Linked DNA regions of Yarrowia lipolytica. The protein of the gene in region 3 purifies or fractionates together with the protein of the main gene of each other region. This does not show direct contact. Links are inferred from orthologs where the notes say so. Each region holds a gene or a part of one and is shown on either strand. Other genes may lie near its edges. The genes, in order: YALI1_E31034g, YALI1_E25541g and YALI1_A18166g.

What was found.
Region 1: the proteins of YALI1_A18166g (region 3) and YALI1_E31034g purify together in Saccharomyces cerevisiae (affinity purification with mass spectrometry; 3 studies listed by BioGRID, with this or other methods). This does not show direct contact. The link is inferred for Yarrowia lipolytica from reciprocal best matches to the Saccharomyces cerevisiae genes RLI1 and LTO1.
Region 2: the proteins of YALI1_A18166g (region 3) and YALI1_E25541g purify together in Saccharomyces cerevisiae (affinity purification with mass spectrometry; 3 studies listed by BioGRID, with this or other methods). This does not show direct contact. The link is inferred for Yarrowia lipolytica from reciprocal best matches to the Saccharomyces cerevisiae genes RLI1 and YAE1.

Annotation. Positions count from the first base shown.
Region 1 is NC_090774.1:3,102,629-3,104,645, forward strand, and holds YALI1_E31034g (uncharacterized protein), read left to right. Parts: upstream 1-844; coding exon 845-915; intron 916-980; coding exon 981-1,383; downstream 1,384-2,017. Other genes in the region: YALI1_E31031g (uncharacterized protein), read right to left, coding at 1-454. UniProt on the Saccharomyces cerevisiae protein: Essential for life in oxygen, but nonessential under anaerobic conditions. Required for biogenesis of the large ribosomal subunit and initiation of translation in oxygen.
Region 2 is NC_090774.1:2,552,976-2,555,063, forward strand, and holds YALI1_E25541g (uncharacterized protein), read left to right. Parts: upstream 1-1,182; coding exon 1,183-1,548; downstream 1,549-2,088. Other genes in the region: YALI1_E25537g (uncharacterized protein), read right to left, coding at 300-797; YALI1_E25549g (uncharacterized protein), read left to right, coding at 1,955-2,088. UniProt on the Saccharomyces cerevisiae protein: The complex LTO1:YAE1 functions as a target specific adapter that recruits apo-RLI1 to the cytosolic iron-sulfur protein assembly (CIA) complex machinery.
Region 3 is NC_090770.1:1,815,213-1,818,978, reverse strand, and holds YALI1_A18166g (uncharacterized protein), read right to left. Parts: upstream 2,396-3,766; coding exon 545-2,395; downstream 1-544. Other genes in the region: YALI1_A18188g (uncharacterized protein), read right to left, coding at 1-32, 164-170. UniProt on the Saccharomyces cerevisiae protein: Component of the multifactor complex (MFC) involved in translation initiation. Required for the binding of MFC to the 40S ribosome. Required for the processing and nuclear export of the 60S and 40S ribosomal subunits.

The DNA.
Region 1 (2,017 bases), on a different chromosome or scaffold from region 3:
TGTATTTCTTTGCCCTGCTCAGATCCACATCCAGTCCGTCCATGTCGTCCTTTGTGTAGTAGTCAATATCCACTTCCGAGTCGGACTCCTCTTCTTCTAGAGGGGCCACAGTGGTGTGTGTACCGACATCGCCCTCAAACTTTTCCATATCCATGAACTGCGGTTTCTCGTCATCAAACTCCTCCTCCTCGGGCCTGTCGCCGTTATCCTTCTCTTTGTTCTCTTCGTCTTCGTCCTCACTGAACATGTCGCTGTCACTGTCGTTGTTTCCATGTCCATTTGCTCCCTTCACAGGCGCATCCTCATCGGAAGAGTCGTCATCGATGCCTCGAAGCCCCTTTTTCTGCGCCCGGACTCGTCCCCCAATATCCTCCTCCAGCAATTCATCGAGTTCGGTCGTTTCCTCAACCTCAGGCGCCAGCTGGAGCGGGTTATTGGTGTTAAAAGTAGACATGGTGATGAAGAAATCACAGCATGCATGTCGAATGTTTGTGCATAGTATAAAGGAGTATATAAGTCTACTAAATGTCCAATAACAAATCCAACTAGACTTAGTGATTGAAAATTAATGTATTATATTATTATACCTACAGGTTAACACAATCTCTGTGAAATACAGTACTTGTAGAACCTGCCAACAATTTGGACCACCTTTTTTCGAACACACATATCTCCTTAATCAAAGTTTTTTACTTGTAGTGGCAGTTCTCTTGCTCTGGCTAAGCAGTCGCATCCTACGTGCGATACGATACATGCAGCTCTTCATCTGCAGGTTAAATTCAATTATAAAGCATCAAATTTATTGTACTCACCATCTATCACACTCTCCGCCGCGGCTACAGAAATGCCAGCTATCCCTACAGAAATGAAGCAGCACGACGACATCTTCGAGGACTTGTTCCAGCTTGAAGAAAAGTGAGTCAGAGGTAACTGAAGGTGCTCAGACACCACCATCGGAAAACTTATCATGCTAACCACAGATTCTACGAAGAAGGATACAATGATGGACTACAGGCTGGTACAAAGGCTGGGTTTGCTGAAGGACGTGAGTTTGGAGTACAGACGGGATATCAGCGGTTTCTGGATCTCGGTTTGCTCCAGGGACGAGTCATAGTGTGGGAGGAACAGGTGGCTGATCTACCTGAAAGCAAACAGCAAAAGACAGTCGAGCGACTGCAACAGATCAAGCAGCTGATCCACCAGGAGGAGCCCACATATTTTTTATCCAACGATAGTGTGGTCGTTCATCAATACGAAACTATGATGAAGAAGGCCAAGGCCAAGGTGAGAACTTTGGCAGCCAGCATCGGTAGCGAAAAGGTGGTGTTTGAGGATCTGCTCAAGGGTTACACTGAAGAGGAGAATATCGAGGATAACTTCTAGAACGATATCTAGACGTATGGGAGTGGCGTGAGGAAGAAAACCTCAGCTAACCAGAGAAGGGAGATTACCAATTCAGCACCCAACCCTGACGGTTGCATCTCAGACAATGATAATGACACAGGTATGCAGATCGATCGCCTCAGGTTGTCTCATCTCGTTCTAAGGAGGTTAATGCAGTTCAAATAAGGGTGCTCTAGAGTCTTGCCACTCGATCTGCCTCAATTACCTGCTGAGTCGCTCAGACGAGCGAAGCTGCAATGAATATACGAAATTGATGAGTTATGAGTTATGACACATTATATTTAGAGCTGTATGTTGAATTCTAAGCAAATGCGAAGAGTCCCTTGACGGTAGACTTTCTCATGTGATCAATACTGAGTCCTTGTAGATAGGAAAAGTTCAAGCCTAAGCAATCTTTTGACTTCCTAAAGGACTTTAGAAGACACACATGGCGGTGTGTTGACCTACACCAGCACCCAGTAATCAGCATGTACTGTAGAACTGTAGCTACAGTATTTGTATGACAACTGCTTTTATTACCACCTACAACTGCAGTCATTTTTACCCCTAAACTGAAGAAGTGAACTTGTAACGATTCTTCTACTGTGTGTATTTACATACTTGTAGATAGATC
Region 2 (2,088 bases), on a different chromosome or scaffold from region 3:
AGACGCAATTGTGCCTCCGTGAAGGATTTGAAGCCGGTTGGTGTGCTCCTTGGCGACGGTGAGGCCGAGTCGGACCTTTCCGCGTTCAGCAGAGTCGATGGAAAGCTGTGTTAATGGCGGACAGAGGGGGTGGCGTGGAATTTGGCGGTTACCTGAGGGCCATTGAAGTACTGGCTGCAAATTCGGTGTGACTTCGGTATTATTGATATGGCTGGTACGCAACTGAAGTCATATTCCGTCTGTATTTTAAAGATAGCTCGAACATCTCATGTAGAGATTCGATGATCACAAACTTGGAACTAGGGAATGTGTCTGTAGACTATCTCTGAGTTACAATCAACCATAGCCCAGGGCCTCTTCCCCGAAAACTCACCGAACGTACCAGTACCATCTCTCACTCTCCCATACTCACCTGAGACAACAGCGTGGGCTCTAGGCCACTGAGCTGGAGGAAATCTCCCCATACCTGCGTTAGTAACGTGTAACAGGCCAATTGGGGCCTTTTGGGGTTCTATACTCACGGCTCGGACGTGTTTGAGAACCTGGGCGTGCGACATGTTGATGTGGGGAAGATGAGCATGCATGCATGAAGTGCAAGGGAGATTGGGTGCAGTGGAGCTACTGTACCTGTAGGTTGGAAGAGGTTGCTTGGTATATTTTATGGACGACATGTTAGAAGTGGCGGGGAGATGGAGTATGTTCTGGAATAATAGAGTCGAGACGATATGATAAAAGATTTCAGGCTTCTTGAGTGATGATATTTGAGCAAGATAGGTCCTTAATGTTGTTTCGTTCATTGTAGCAACCGATCAGTGGATAAGTCTAGTTGGGAGAGGTACAGTAGGGTGTTAAGAAAGCGTCACCGAAAGTGCGGTCCCACAAGTACCTACAACAGCAAAATCGAGAGCTGCTTTAGACTAGAATGAGAGACCTAGCTTGTGAGGTTGAAGTGGCCCACTGGTGAGATTGATGGATAAAAAAACCCATCCTATCGCCCTAGCAAACCTCCACTGTTACCTACATTCCTAACTACACTTTACTTACACTTTACTTAAAACTCTGGTCCTTAAAAGACCAGCCAAAAATTCCAAATAAACTCAACATGCATGCTGATTTGTAAGGGAGCCTGCACATAAAAATGGCATTGAACTGACATCTTTCTCTAAACAGAGCAACAACGACATGTCCGACATCTGGGATGACGAGGAAGTGAGAGAAACGCCCAGCGAGATCACACGAGTGAAGCGCGACCACTCACAGGCAGGCTACCTTGCTGGAGTCACAAAGGCCAAAGACGAAAGTCTGCAGGAGGGCTTCAACGCAGGATACCCCATTGGAGGCCAGCTGGGGCTCTCTATCGGGCGTATTTTCGGCTATTTGCAGGGAAAGGGTCTTGTTGAGGAGGAGAAGCAGGCCCGCAAAGAACTCAGCAGCACGAGGATCTTCGACAGACAGTATTGGACCACTGATGCTGCTCCTACATATGAGGGAGTGCATCCTCTGGTGAAGCAATGGGAGAACAAGATTGACGTCATGAAGCGGGAATAGAGGAGGTAGATGTTGCTGAGTATGCTTTGTGGAGTCTGGATGGTGTACAGTTACCAGTACTCTTACCTCAGTTAACTGAGAACGAGATCACGTCTTGGAACAGAGGACCCCACTACTGTCCACCCACGAGTACGGTGCGACTATTTAATGATTAATGATTGTATTTTAGAGATGCACTTCAAGTATATGATAATTTAGTAGAAGATCTGTATCAAAATCTCAAGCTCTGAGCTTTCTACCAGCCCCCTATCATTTTCGCCCCATATTCAGCTCTACTTAATTTTCTCAGTAAACTCAACTAAACATACTCGACGCCCCACGTCCAGCAAAGTTCAGACATGCATGAAATTTCAGCGTCTGAAGTTATCACCAAAACGAGCATTTTCTCCTGTCCAGCAAAACTGCCATGAGTAAACTGGAGGTGCTACAGCCCCACAGTGTCGGCAAGCGGATCGCTTCGATAGCCGTGAGTGGGACGTTGGCCCAGCAGCAGCGGCGGATAGAGGAGGGCACACAGCGTACACGGAACCAACTGCGCAC
Region 3 (3,766 bases):
GTCAAAAGACACGAGCTCGGGTCGCTGATGTTCTGTGTTAGTTTCTGTCTCGCGCGCGGTAAAATCACGTCGGCGACGTTGTGGAGCAACGGAACGGCGATTCCGCGCATTTTCGCATCCGGATCATTCCTCAATGAGCGCCTATTGGCGTTTTCGTACTCACCAGACATTTTCGTATTCGAGGTGCGTAGTCTAACTTGGTGATAAATCTGTGTTGTGGTTGGTTGGTTCCAGGGTGATTCCAAACCTTATATTATTAGTAAGGCGAAATGAATAATCTGAATTTATGCAGGATGGGAAATGGGAATAATTCGTATAAAAAATGGGAAAAAAATTGCAGCCGAAAAATAACCGCAGCCTATACAAATACAGCCTCTGTGGGGTTTTATGTAATTGTTTCAACCCTACTAATTCTCTCTCTCTCTCACTTATCCAATCATTTTCATTCCGCACATCTATTAGAATGCCTGTAACTATCCTAGTTATTTTGCTACTCGTTGCCAATTTTCGTTGTTGAATCCTCCATTCGATTTCCATCTTTCGCTTAAGCCTCCGCAGTGTCGAGGAAAAAGTAGTTGCCGTGAGCCTTCTGCTCCTTGTCCATCTGCGAGTCCTTCTTGTTAATTCGGGGTCGGAACGAGGTGGGGTCTCGTCGGAAGGTGACGTTGAGAGACTTGAGGAACCGGTTGCATCCGGTAAGCAGAGACTCGGGTCGTCGGGCAAAGGCCTCGACGGAGGGCTGTCCGTCAAAGACAATGACTCGGTCGGCCAGGTAGGTGGCCATGATGAAATCGTGCTCAACGATAAAGGCGGTCTTCTTCGAATGCAGAATGAACCGTCGAATGACCTTGGCACAGATGATTCGCTGCTCGGAATCGAGGTAAGCGGAAGGCTCATCGATAAGGTAGATATCTGCGGGCTGACCCAGAGCGAGCACAATGGCGACTCGCTGCAACTCACCACCAGACAGGTTCTGGACCTCCTGGTCGATAATGTCGTCAATTCGCAGAGGCTTGTAGACATCGGTCTGGAACTGGGGGTGATGCATGGAGGATCGGATCTTCTTGAGGAAGAGCTGTCGCACGGTACCAGTGAACTTGGGGGCAATCTTCTGGGGCTTCATGGACACGTTGAGCTTGGGGGCCTTCTGTCCCTCATCAGGAGCCACGGCGCCGGCCAGAAGTCGACAAAGTGTGGTCTTTCCGGTACCGTTCTCGCCCATCATGACAATGATTTCCGAGTCAGTGAACTCTCCAGACTCGACGTTAAGCTTGAAGTCGCCCTGAGTTCGGCTCATGGTGGGGTACTTGAAAGATCGCGACTGGTCAAGGGGGGTGATCTCAGTGGCATCGGCGAGTCGGAACTGCAGAGACTCGGTTCGGAACCGCAGGTTTTCGGTGGGGATGTGACCGTCCAGGAAAATGTTGATACCTTCTCGCACAGACGAGGGCAGAGTCACCACTCCGTAGACGGAGGGGACACCGTAGAGAATGCAGACGAAATCGGACAGATAATCCAGCACTGACAGATCGTGCTCGACAACAATAATATAACCGGTGGAGTCGATGAGCGACCGAATCATGGCAGCAGCATGCAGACGCTGCTTGACATCCAGGTATGAGGAAGGCTCGTCAAACATGTAGACCTGGGCCAGCTGGACACAGGACATACCGATGGCGAATCGCTGCAGCTCTCCTCCGGACAGCAGAGACACCTCTCGCTTCCACACACCCTTGAGCTCCAGGGTGTTGACAATGTTCTCAAAGTCGTCCTTTCGCTCCAGCTTGGCCTTGAGCAGCTCGCCAACCTTCTGCAGGGGTCCCTTGATGGCTCGGGGCAGGTTGTCGACGTACTGGGGCTTGATGATGGCCTTGAGGTTGTCTTCCAGCACCCGAGTAAAGTAGTTTTGCAGCTCGGAGCCTCGGAAATGTGTCAGAATCTCCTGCCACGTGGGAGGGTCCTCGTACCGGCCCAGGTTGGGCTTTTGCTTGCCTGCAAGAATCTTGAGCGCGGTACTCTTGCCGATACCGTTGGTTCCCACCAGTCCAAGAACCTGGCCTGGTCGGGGAGTGGGGAGTCGATGCAGCTTGAAGGAGTTGGCCGAGTATCGATGGGTGACCTCAGAGTCCAGGTTTGTGGGCAGGTTGATAATCTGCAGCGCGCCAAAGGGGCACTTTTTGGGGCAAATACCACATCCGATACACAGCGTCTCGGAAATGAAGGCAATCTTGGAGTCGGGCGTCACCTCGATACACAGCTTGCCGGTTCGCACCACAGGACACGACTTTTTGCACTCCTGTCGACACTTCTTGGGCTTGCACTTGTCCACGTTGACAATAGCAATACGCGTGTTCTTGTCTCCGTCCTTGACTTCGTTTTTGTTCTTGGGCGGCATTATGATGTTGGAGTTCCGTAGTTCTGTGGTTCGTGGTGTGCCAAATTTTTGCACCCTTTGAAAAATTACCCAACCTTATTTCCGCACCCCTTCCAGTTTGGTCGGTTCCAAAAGGGGAAATAAATTAGGGCTGGCAGAAGGAGCCGTAAGCAGCAAGAAGACGCCGCTGATTGGCCAGCTGCACATTTGAAGTGTGTGTGGATCACGTGATCGGCAACCGTGGAAACGTGTGTAGGGTAATACAAACTGCCACAATAGCCTAGTGGCTCTTATCCCCCGCTCTATTGGTCTACTGCTTGGAATCGCACCGTAGCAACCTCCAGTAACCCTACTTATAGTAAGCAGGTGAGACATGGCTTGAACCGCTGCAAATACGGTAGCAATGAGATACCAGAGGTAACCAGAGATAAGCAAGAGACACGTGGTGGTTGCGGAATTATATGACGGTCTCGGTGGCAATATTTCTGCTTCAGTCTCTGCTTCTATCTTCACCGTGCGAGTTCTCGTACTCTCACCAGAGTAGATCTGCTAGACACCCCATATTTTTATTTGTCAGAACTTGAATCTACGTACATTACTTGTATTTACGTACATCCGTTATTTGTACCTACAAAAAAATAAAAAATGATAAAAAAGTGCATTAATCCCTACCTTCAGCCCTCATAATACGTATATATATTTTCCGGTCGATGTATCTGGATGCGACGAATAACGAATGAAAATCTCATGTCGAAATTAACACTCTTCATCGAGTTCAACGATGTACTAACTCGCGCCCCCCCCCCCAGGAGGGTGTGTGCTTGCTCATTCACCAGAAAAAGTTCTAGATTCAGTGATAAATCTACAGGATGGATCTCGTCCTACGACCCAGCTGGATTCCTCTCATTACTATGTGGGACTTCTTCATCATTATGTGAGGGAATTAGCCAGGTATTACCCCACCCGGGTATTACTTCAACCCCCCCCCCCCCCCTTTTTTTTTTTTTTTTTTTTTTCTGTTTTTCTTTGAATTTTTTTTTTTGGATAATTCGGCTTTTCTTAAAAAAAAAAAAAAAAAGGGACTTGAAAAATGTCTAGCGTCTCATCAAAATGCTCTATGTTCTCCAAAACTGTTTTGGTGCTACTGCAGACATTCTGGACCCAAGCAACATTCAAACCTTTGCAACGGTGCCAGAACTTTGTTGTACGTCCTTGGAACGCCTGTCTTCTTTTTTTGTCCTCCATTTTGCCCCTTGGTTCTCCTGTCAATACTCGTACATATCATATCATACATACCATGGCAGTAATTACCGGAACACAGCCGCACGCACAATGTAGCCCACCACCAATTCTCTACAAACTGCTCCCACGGTTCCATGTTCCATGCACGCG